Linked DNA regions of Elephas maximus indicus. The protein of the gene in region 2 purifies or fractionates together with the protein of the main gene of each other region. This does not show direct contact. Links are inferred from orthologs where the notes say so. Each region holds a gene or a part of one and is shown on either strand. Other genes may lie near its edges. The genes, in order: TMEM63B and CXCR4.

Region 1 (3,908 bases), on a different chromosome or scaffold from region 2:
TGGGACATGGCAGGGTGATGCCATGCCAGGATGGGTCAAAAGTTCAGAGAAGAGAACCTGTTATTGATCACTTGTCAGGCAAGGTGCCAGGCTCTTTTCCTGTGTTACCAAGTTTGAACCCCACGATAAACCTTGGAAGAAAGTGGTGGTAACCATACTTTTTAATAAAAACTGAGGCTCAGGCAGGTTTAGTAACTTGTCAAGGTCACACAGCTAATGAATGGTAGAATGGAATTTGAACCCAGGTCTCTAAAATCTGTATAATTGGAGGAAACTTGTACCATGTCCAAAAGGGGGCTTTCAGCTACCCACCACCTGCCTTCTGCTTTGCCACATTTCTACGCACCCACCTACCTACCCACCGGCCAGGATGTGTCTGGTGAGCCAACAGCAGGCCCCAGGATGTGCCACCCAGGGCGTGCCAGAGTCTGGACCTTTTGGTGCCCTGTAAGACAAGTCATGCTGACCTGACACTCTACCTGAAGCCTGGCAGACACTCCCATTCCCCTCCTCACCTGTGTCTGGGAGGCAGGACTGGGGGCCCCTCCTGGAGAGGGGTTGGGTATAGCCTCATTCTTCCTGGGCTGTTGCAGACTCAGGGAGAGGTAGAGAGTGGTGTTGGGTAGGGACAACCCAGCCCCCAGGGTGGTGAAGTGTTCAGGCTTGCCCTGAGCAGCCAGACCTCTGCCCAGGGGACCCAGGCAGGTAGTAGCACAGAGCTCCAAGGGCAGCCGGCCCCTCTGACCTCTTCTCCCCATTTCCCAAGCGCCCTTTCCTTTTCTGGGGGAATAAGAGGCCAAAGCCCTGCGACTGTCCGCCCCCGGCAGTGAAGAAGGCCAGGAAGAACAAAGCGTGGCCCCCTCCCCCCAGCAGGGCCTTTGCCCCACTCCCTGCTCGGCGGCTCAGTCCTTTCCCCACCGCACCCTCCAACGCAGGCCCGAGCGGCTCATGAATGAACTGCACTGTGTGGGGCGCAAGGAGAGGACACGCTCCCGGGGCCCGCCACCTCCCCGGCCTGCCGCCCAGTCCCCAGACCGGCCGCGGGCAGCGGCGGCCTCAAGCCAGCACCCGCGAACCCTGCTCCAACCCCGGGCTGGCTTCGGAGATATTCGGATCCGGGAGCAGGAGAAAAGATAAAAGCGACCGAGGGCATCGTACTCAGCGACCCCAGAATCCAAAACTCGGGGGCGGGGGCAGCTGGTTCCCCACAGCGGCGACGAGCTGGTGGGGCGCAGCTGGAACCCACCGAGGGCGCGCGCACCTAGACTGGGCAGGTAGGAGGAGAGTGGCGCTAGGAGGTCGGGGCCGGGGGTCCCACCCCTTGGGATCTCCAGGGAGGTGGGGACAGAAGGCGGCGCACATCTGGACACTCGGCAGGGTCTGAGGACTCACATCTGGATCGGGATGGTGCGGGGTTGGGGACAGCGCGCGCCACCGCTGGGTCCCGCGGGCCCGGGTACCTCCGGGTCCCGCAGGAGGTTGAAGGGAGGGGACGCGTAGCTGAGTCCAGCTCTTTTCTTTGGGTGGTGGGGGGATCCTCAAAGAAAAGAGAGGGGGCTGGGGAGGGGTCGCGTACTCACCCCCAGGCGCAGACTCGGCTCCGGCTCCGAGCCCCGGGTTGGGGCGGGGCGGGGCTGGGGGAGGGGGAGGGGGAGTCGCTGGGCGGCTGGAGCTCCGGGCTCCTGCGGCGGCCGCGGCAGTGTATGGGGGAGGGGGAGCGGGAGGAGGGAGGGGAGCAGGGGGCGGGGCCCCGCAGGTCCCGCCCCCCACGCCAGCACACGCAGGGCGCGCGCACTCTCAGATCACCGCCCCCGCCGGGCCCGGCGCGCAGGCGCAGGGGAGGGGCCACGCGGGGGAGGGGAGGGCGGGGCTTGGCCGGGGTCCCGAGACGGGGTTTTCCCGGGCGGCGAGAGCGGTATGGCGGGGCCGTCACGTTCCTAACTCTTCTTCCCCCATCTCCTTCTTCTCTGCTGTAGGGGAGGCTCAGTTCTCAGGGGTGGGTAAGGGGAGGCCGCAGCAGAAGGGTCGTGGGCCGTTTGGGGTCGAAGTGCCAGTGGAAGGGGTCCTGGGGAGCGCGGGCCTGACCCGGACGCTCCTCATCTCGACCCCGTGGGCGCCGGTGGTCCCCGCGGCCTCTGCGTCCCCCGCGGCCCGCGCTCACCTGCCTTCCCAGGAGTGGGGCCGGCCTGGGGAAAGGTGGGCTGCGCTCGGGCCTTGGCGAGCCGCTTTAGTCCCTGAACTAGGCCGGCCACGCCGGCGCGTCTCCTCGAGTGTCTCCTTCCCTCCTCAGGATTTGGGGCTTGAAGTGGCTTTGACTCGTTTGCCAGGCGCTTCTGTGCAGTGGGACGTGAGCGAGTTTCCTGGTTTCGCGTCAATCAGGCCGATGAGCGGCTCCCCGGATCCAGGGGGTTTCCTGGTTTCTCATTTCACCAGAGGCTGGATCTGCCAACGACGAAGGCTGAGAAGATGAACACCGCGCTGAGAGATGTGTGCATACTCTGTCTATAGCTCACCCACACAAATCACAAAGGCATGAGGAGCACCAACCTGTTCATTTCACTTGGGCTTCCTGAAAGGCATTCTTTTCATTAAGCTTGAGGGGAGGTGGTTTGGGCATGTAAAGGAAGTATTGCTTTCCACCGTGGGCAGTGAATCAACTTTGTCACCGTGAGAGATTGAATGGATTGAATTTATAGAGATTTAAAAAGGCATACGACAGATTCTCCCTGGGTTACCTGGGAAAAGCGGGGAGTTTAGGAGATACTTAAACCTAGGTTGCTGGTGATGGTGGGGAGCTGGCTAGCTGTGGCTGCCAGACATAGGAGGGAGACAGCCTACCTGGGAGTGTCTGCTGTGATTGGTCAGCGTCTTTGCTGTCCACTGGCTTTTTTTTCCCACCGCGATGATGATAGTGTTTACAAGCTGATCTCTTATTTTGATGAACGGTGACCACCAAGAGTGGCTTCAGTTCCAAGTTCAGAGGATATCTTAGGGCGATAGTTTTGGAGGTTCCTGTAATCACAATCAGTCCAGTAAGTCTGACCTTTTTTAGGAATTTGAGTTTTGTTCCTACAATTTTCCTCCCATTCTAACCTGGACCTTGTATTGTGTCCCGGGTCAGAACAGTTGTTAGTGGTAGCCAGGCACCATCTAGTTCTTGTCTCAGCCTAGAGGAGGCTGTGGTTCGTGTGGGCAGTTGGTGCTGTGGACTAATTGCTTCCTTGAGTCTTTGGTTTCCTTCACTCTCCTTTGCTGCAGAGGGGAGAGACCCATAGTTGTATCTTAGATGGCTGCTTGCAAACTTTTAAGACCGCAGATGCTACTCACCAACCTAGGATGTAGAGCATTATCTTTCTGAGCTGTGTTAGGCCAGTTGATGTCCACTGGCTTTTTAAAGAGTTCATTAATAGCTTGTGGGATGCAACTGTAGGGTTCAGTTTATGGCAGTGTATTTCAAACTGTGAGTCATATTAGTGAGGTGGAAATCAGTTTAGTGGATCACAACTATCATTTTAAAAATAATGAAATAGAATAGAAAATGTCAAGAGTGCATTGCATTTGGTAAATATTGTTCCTTGACACTAACTTGTTTCAGGTATTCATGTATGAATATATTTAGCAAGTGTTGTGCAAAATGTTTCTGTACATCACAGAGAAGTTTGAAAAGCATTGGTCTTCTGTATGCTTTTATTAGCCCTCTTGCCTTCCTTAGCCTGAGTTTTCAGTCAGTTAAAATCGTCCGTTAGAATTCAGTTAGCAGACTAGGAACATATGGTCAAGTGTGGGTCTCATTCTTCAGAAAGGTTACTTACTGCCCAAGAAGAAAGACAGTTTACTTTTCATTCAGTACAATTGAAAAACAAGGCTTTTGTTGAGGATAGAAATATATCTAGGATTTGTCTGTATTG
Region 2 (3,908 bases):
GCCTTGCGCTTCTGGTGGCCCTTGGAGTGTGACAGTTTGGAGATGATAATACAATAGCAGGACAGGATGACGATCCCTGGCAGGATGAGGCCAACCATGATGTGCTGAAATTGGAACACGACCATCCACAAGTCACTGGGGTAGAAACGGTCACAGATGTATTTCTCCTCTGATTCAGTGACGTTAGCGAAGATGAAATCCGGGATAGTCAGCAGGAGGGCGGGTATCCAGACGCCAACATAAACCACCTTTTCAGCCAACAGCTTCCTTGGCTTCTGACTGTTGGTGGCGTGGACGATGGCTAGGTACCGGTCCAGGCTGATGAACGCCAGGATGAGGACGCTGCTGTAGAGGTTGACCGTGTAAATGACGTGGACTGCCTGGCACAGGAACTTCCCAAAGTACCAGCCTGCCACGGCATCAACGGCCCAGAAAGGAAGTGTAAGGACAAAGAGGAGGTCCGCCACTGACAGGTGCAGCCTGTACTTGTCCGTCATGCTTCTCAGTTTCTTCTGGTAACCCATGACCAGGATGACCAATCCATTGCCCACTATGCCAGTCAAGAAAATGATGGAGTAGATGGTAGGCAGAAAGAATCGGTTGAAATGGGCATTTTCTTCCCGGAAGCAGGGTTCCTTTATGGAGTCGTAGTCACCTGAGCCCACCTCCTCCGTCTCATTGTCCATAGTGAAAAACTGCAAAAGAGGCAAGGGAAAGGCCATTTAACTTCCAAGTTCACCAGGCAAGTTAGAAAAATGTTTCTGGGATTAAAAAAAAAAACAGTTTATAAAACCCAACTCAGCCCAGCCTCCTTCAGGAAATTCTGCTCCCACTGAAGTACTCGGTAAGGGCACACTAGCAGCATGATAGAAGCTTACGGTCCCCCGCCCACGTTCCCCTAGTCACTCATCACATGCTTCTTTAGTAGAACCAATTAGAAAATTCTTTGTTTAGAACAAAAGGGCGTGAGATTCTGAGGTTTCAAAGCTGCAATCTTTGCTTACTCTTCTGCCCTGCCCACTACAGGGAAGAAAAAAAAAACAACACACACGCGCACACAACAAAGAGGCCACTCCCAGGCGGCGTGAGGGTGGGGGCAGAATCTGTTCTGCGGAGCTGGGATTAACGTTCTACACGAAGATTCTCCGAAGAGAGAAAAGAGGCGGGAGGAGTACTCTGAATTCTCCTAAGTAAGGCACGAAAAACTCAGAATTATTCTAAAGCAAGATACAATTTTCCTCAGGCTTACCTAAATATACAAACCATTCTGCAGTTCAAGCAACATGTGGTGGGGAAGGAGGATGCCGCCTTAAAGCAACCGGAGTGCTGGGGTACTGGGCGTGGGCGTCAGTAGGGAGTAAATCGGTACCCCACCCCTATAGGGTCGCTATGAGTCAGAGTTGACTCGACGGCAACGGGTTTGGTTTTTTTTTGGGTACTCTTCCCCAGCCTCGGAGACGTGCGTCTCCTTTGCTATACTTGTGTTTGCCACTTGGCGCATTTGGGACGTTAAGGAGGCGCGGCATTTCCCTGGGTGGGGAAGGTCACGGGGTTCGGGCCCGTGGTCCTCGACCCAAGTTTCATTTCCTTACTCTCCCAGGTCCCTTCCCACCCCGCCACCAGTCCAGCTAACGGGGTCGGAGGTCGGCAGCTGAAAAGCACCAGGCGGTGGGCGCGCGGGGGGCCAAGTTGTCCAGCTCCGGGCCGCCTCCGCCGCCCACCACACGCAGGCCCACCGCGGGCGGGCAGCAGTTCCAGGGGTTCCGAACGCTGCACAGCGGACTTAAGTCTTGCAGGGTGCTGGGGAGCGATTGGGCAGCTCCGCCCTGAGCAACTTTGAATTGCGCGCCGCGGGAGGAGATGAAGAGCCTCACTAGCCAGGGGGTTTCAAAGGCTCCAGGAAACCACCGACGGTTAAACGGCGCAGTTGAGCTCCCAGGGAGTGAAACGGTCTCTGCGCTTGCACCTGCCAATCTGCGCGGGGGAGGACCGGGCAAATCCAGGTGACCTCCCAATCCTGCCCCCTCGTCCCCCCGCCTCTCCTGCCGCGCACACCTCCAGCCGCTGCTACGCGATACGTGTTTATACCCCTTGGACCTCGGCAAGACGTCAAACTCCCGTGCCATGGGGCCCACACTGCGGCCGGGGGGAGGGGGCAAGGGGTGCGCTCCGGTTGTCCAGGTCTCCCCTCCAACCCCAAGGCGCGCGGGCTGCTGTGGGCCACTTAACAACTGTTGGCCCCACTCAGGCAAGCGACGCGGTGGGTTCGCTCGCCTTTTCCACCCCTTGCCACTATGCCCGAGGACTGGCACACCTCCGCAGACCACGCAGTTTAGCAAACACGCGTCCAACGTCCAGAGCGCTTTCCAGGCGCCTTTGCCCAAAGTTAAGGCGGAGGGGCAGAGTCTCCCTGTGAGAACTGAGCTCCTCCTCTAATTTCAGATAACGTAACTCGCTCCAAGAAATACCCCTTCCCCGGGAAGAGACCTTCCATCTGAGTCTCGGAGGGAGCGTGCATGCCTTCTCTGCAGTCGTGCACAGAATGTTCCTATGTTTGCAAACAGCGTGCAACTCCGGTGCGCGCGCGGGACTCAGGGGGGAGACACATGCAATCACCCGAACTGCCGTTCAAATCTTTCCTTCTCTATTTACAGAGAAAAAGATTCCAACCCTACCCTCCTGTGCAGCCATACGCATGAAAACTCTTTTCCATGTCCCCCTCTACCAAGAACGGGCATCTCCAGTGTTCGGATCGCTTCTGCCCGCTCGGAGAAGGGCTGCGTTCTAAGTTTATGCATTTGTACGTTTAAGAAAAAGCAGGTTGAAAGTGGACTTACATTGATCTCGCCCATGGTAACCGCTCGCTCTTCAAGCCGCGGTGGCTACCAGAGAACCCAAATCCTCGAGTTGTCTTTGCTACCTGCTGCCTTAGCCAACAAACTGAAGTTTCTGGCCAAAGCTGGACTTTTATACAGGCTCCGCGGGCTGCGCGTGCGTCATGCGGGCGGGCGGGTGGGCGGGGCAGGGAGAGGGAAGGCGGAGAGGAGGGAGAGGGGCAGACGCGAGGGAGGGGCGGAGGGGTGGGCGCCGAGGCTCCTTTGGAGGAGTAGACCTGGGAAGTCTCCAAGCGGGTGCCGCTCCGCTGGTCTCTGGCCGAGGCTCCCAGGCTGGAAGAGCAGTCCAGAGGAGTCCTCGAATTTGGGAAAGCGGGATGCGCCTGGAGGGAGGTGGGAAGCGCGGACCAGGGATGCGTCCCTGCGTGGTGCATCCATCCTTAATCCCCAGGTGGAATTCCAGACCTGGGAATTATACACATGGAGACATTGAGGCCCAGAGAGGGGTAGACTTGCCCGAGTAACCCAACCAGTAGGTGGCAGTGCTGAAAGTGGGGCCAGAGCCTATGACTCCGTGTCACGCTCTTTTTATCAGATTGCGCTCTTTGAGAAGGTAAATTAAGATCCTTTCTTCGGAACGCAACTGTATATGACCTACGTGCACATTCACAGTAAAAGCACCAAGGTCAGGTGTAGACGATCAGGAAATACTTTCAGAAGAAGGTAGGATTTGGCATCATCCTGAAGATAGAGAAAAGGTGATGGAGAGATAGATTTGTATTCTTGGCAGGAATGTCAGTGTTGTGTGCCCTCCAGTCCATTCCGACGCACAGTGACCCTGTAAAACTGCTCCACAGGGTTTCTTAGCCAGGGTCGCTATGAGTCGGAATCGACTCGAAGTCAACGGGTTTGGGTTTGGCTTTGCTAATCTTTAAGGGAATAGGTTGCCAGATCTTTTCTCCCGCTGCTGGTAGTTTGGGACCTCCAATCTTTCAGTCAGCAGCGGAGTGCTTAACCATCGCGCCACTAGGGCTCTTTAGGAATGTCAGTAGTGGCAACCAGTTCATGAATAGT

Evidence for each region.
Region 1: the proteins of CXCR4 (region 2) and TMEM63B purify together in Homo sapiens (co-immunoprecipitation; 3 studies listed by BioGRID and IntAct, with this or other methods). This does not show direct contact. The link is inferred for Elephas maximus indicus from reciprocal best matches to the Homo sapiens genes CXCR4 and TMEM63B.

The regions. Positions count from the first base shown.
Region 1 is NC_064819.1:108,669,388-108,673,295, reverse strand, and holds the start of TMEM63B (CSC1-like protein 2), read right to left. Parts: upstream 2,323-3,908; 5' UTR 2,162-2,322; intron 1,916-2,161; exon of another isoform or gene 1,870-1,915; intron 1,635-1,869; 5' UTR 1,581-1,634; intron 1,275-1,580; exon of another isoform or gene 972-1,274; intron 446-971; exon of another isoform or gene 355-445; intron 1-354. UniProt on the Homo sapiens protein: Mechanosensitive cation channel with low conductance and high activation threshold. Osmosensitive cation channel preferentially activated by hypotonic stress.
Region 2 is NC_064824.1:31,281,834-31,285,741, forward strand, and holds the start of CXCR4 (C-X-C chemokine receptor type 4), read right to left. Parts: upstream 2,948-3,908; 5' UTR 2,853-2,947; coding exon 2,838-2,852; intron 696-2,837; coding exon 1-695.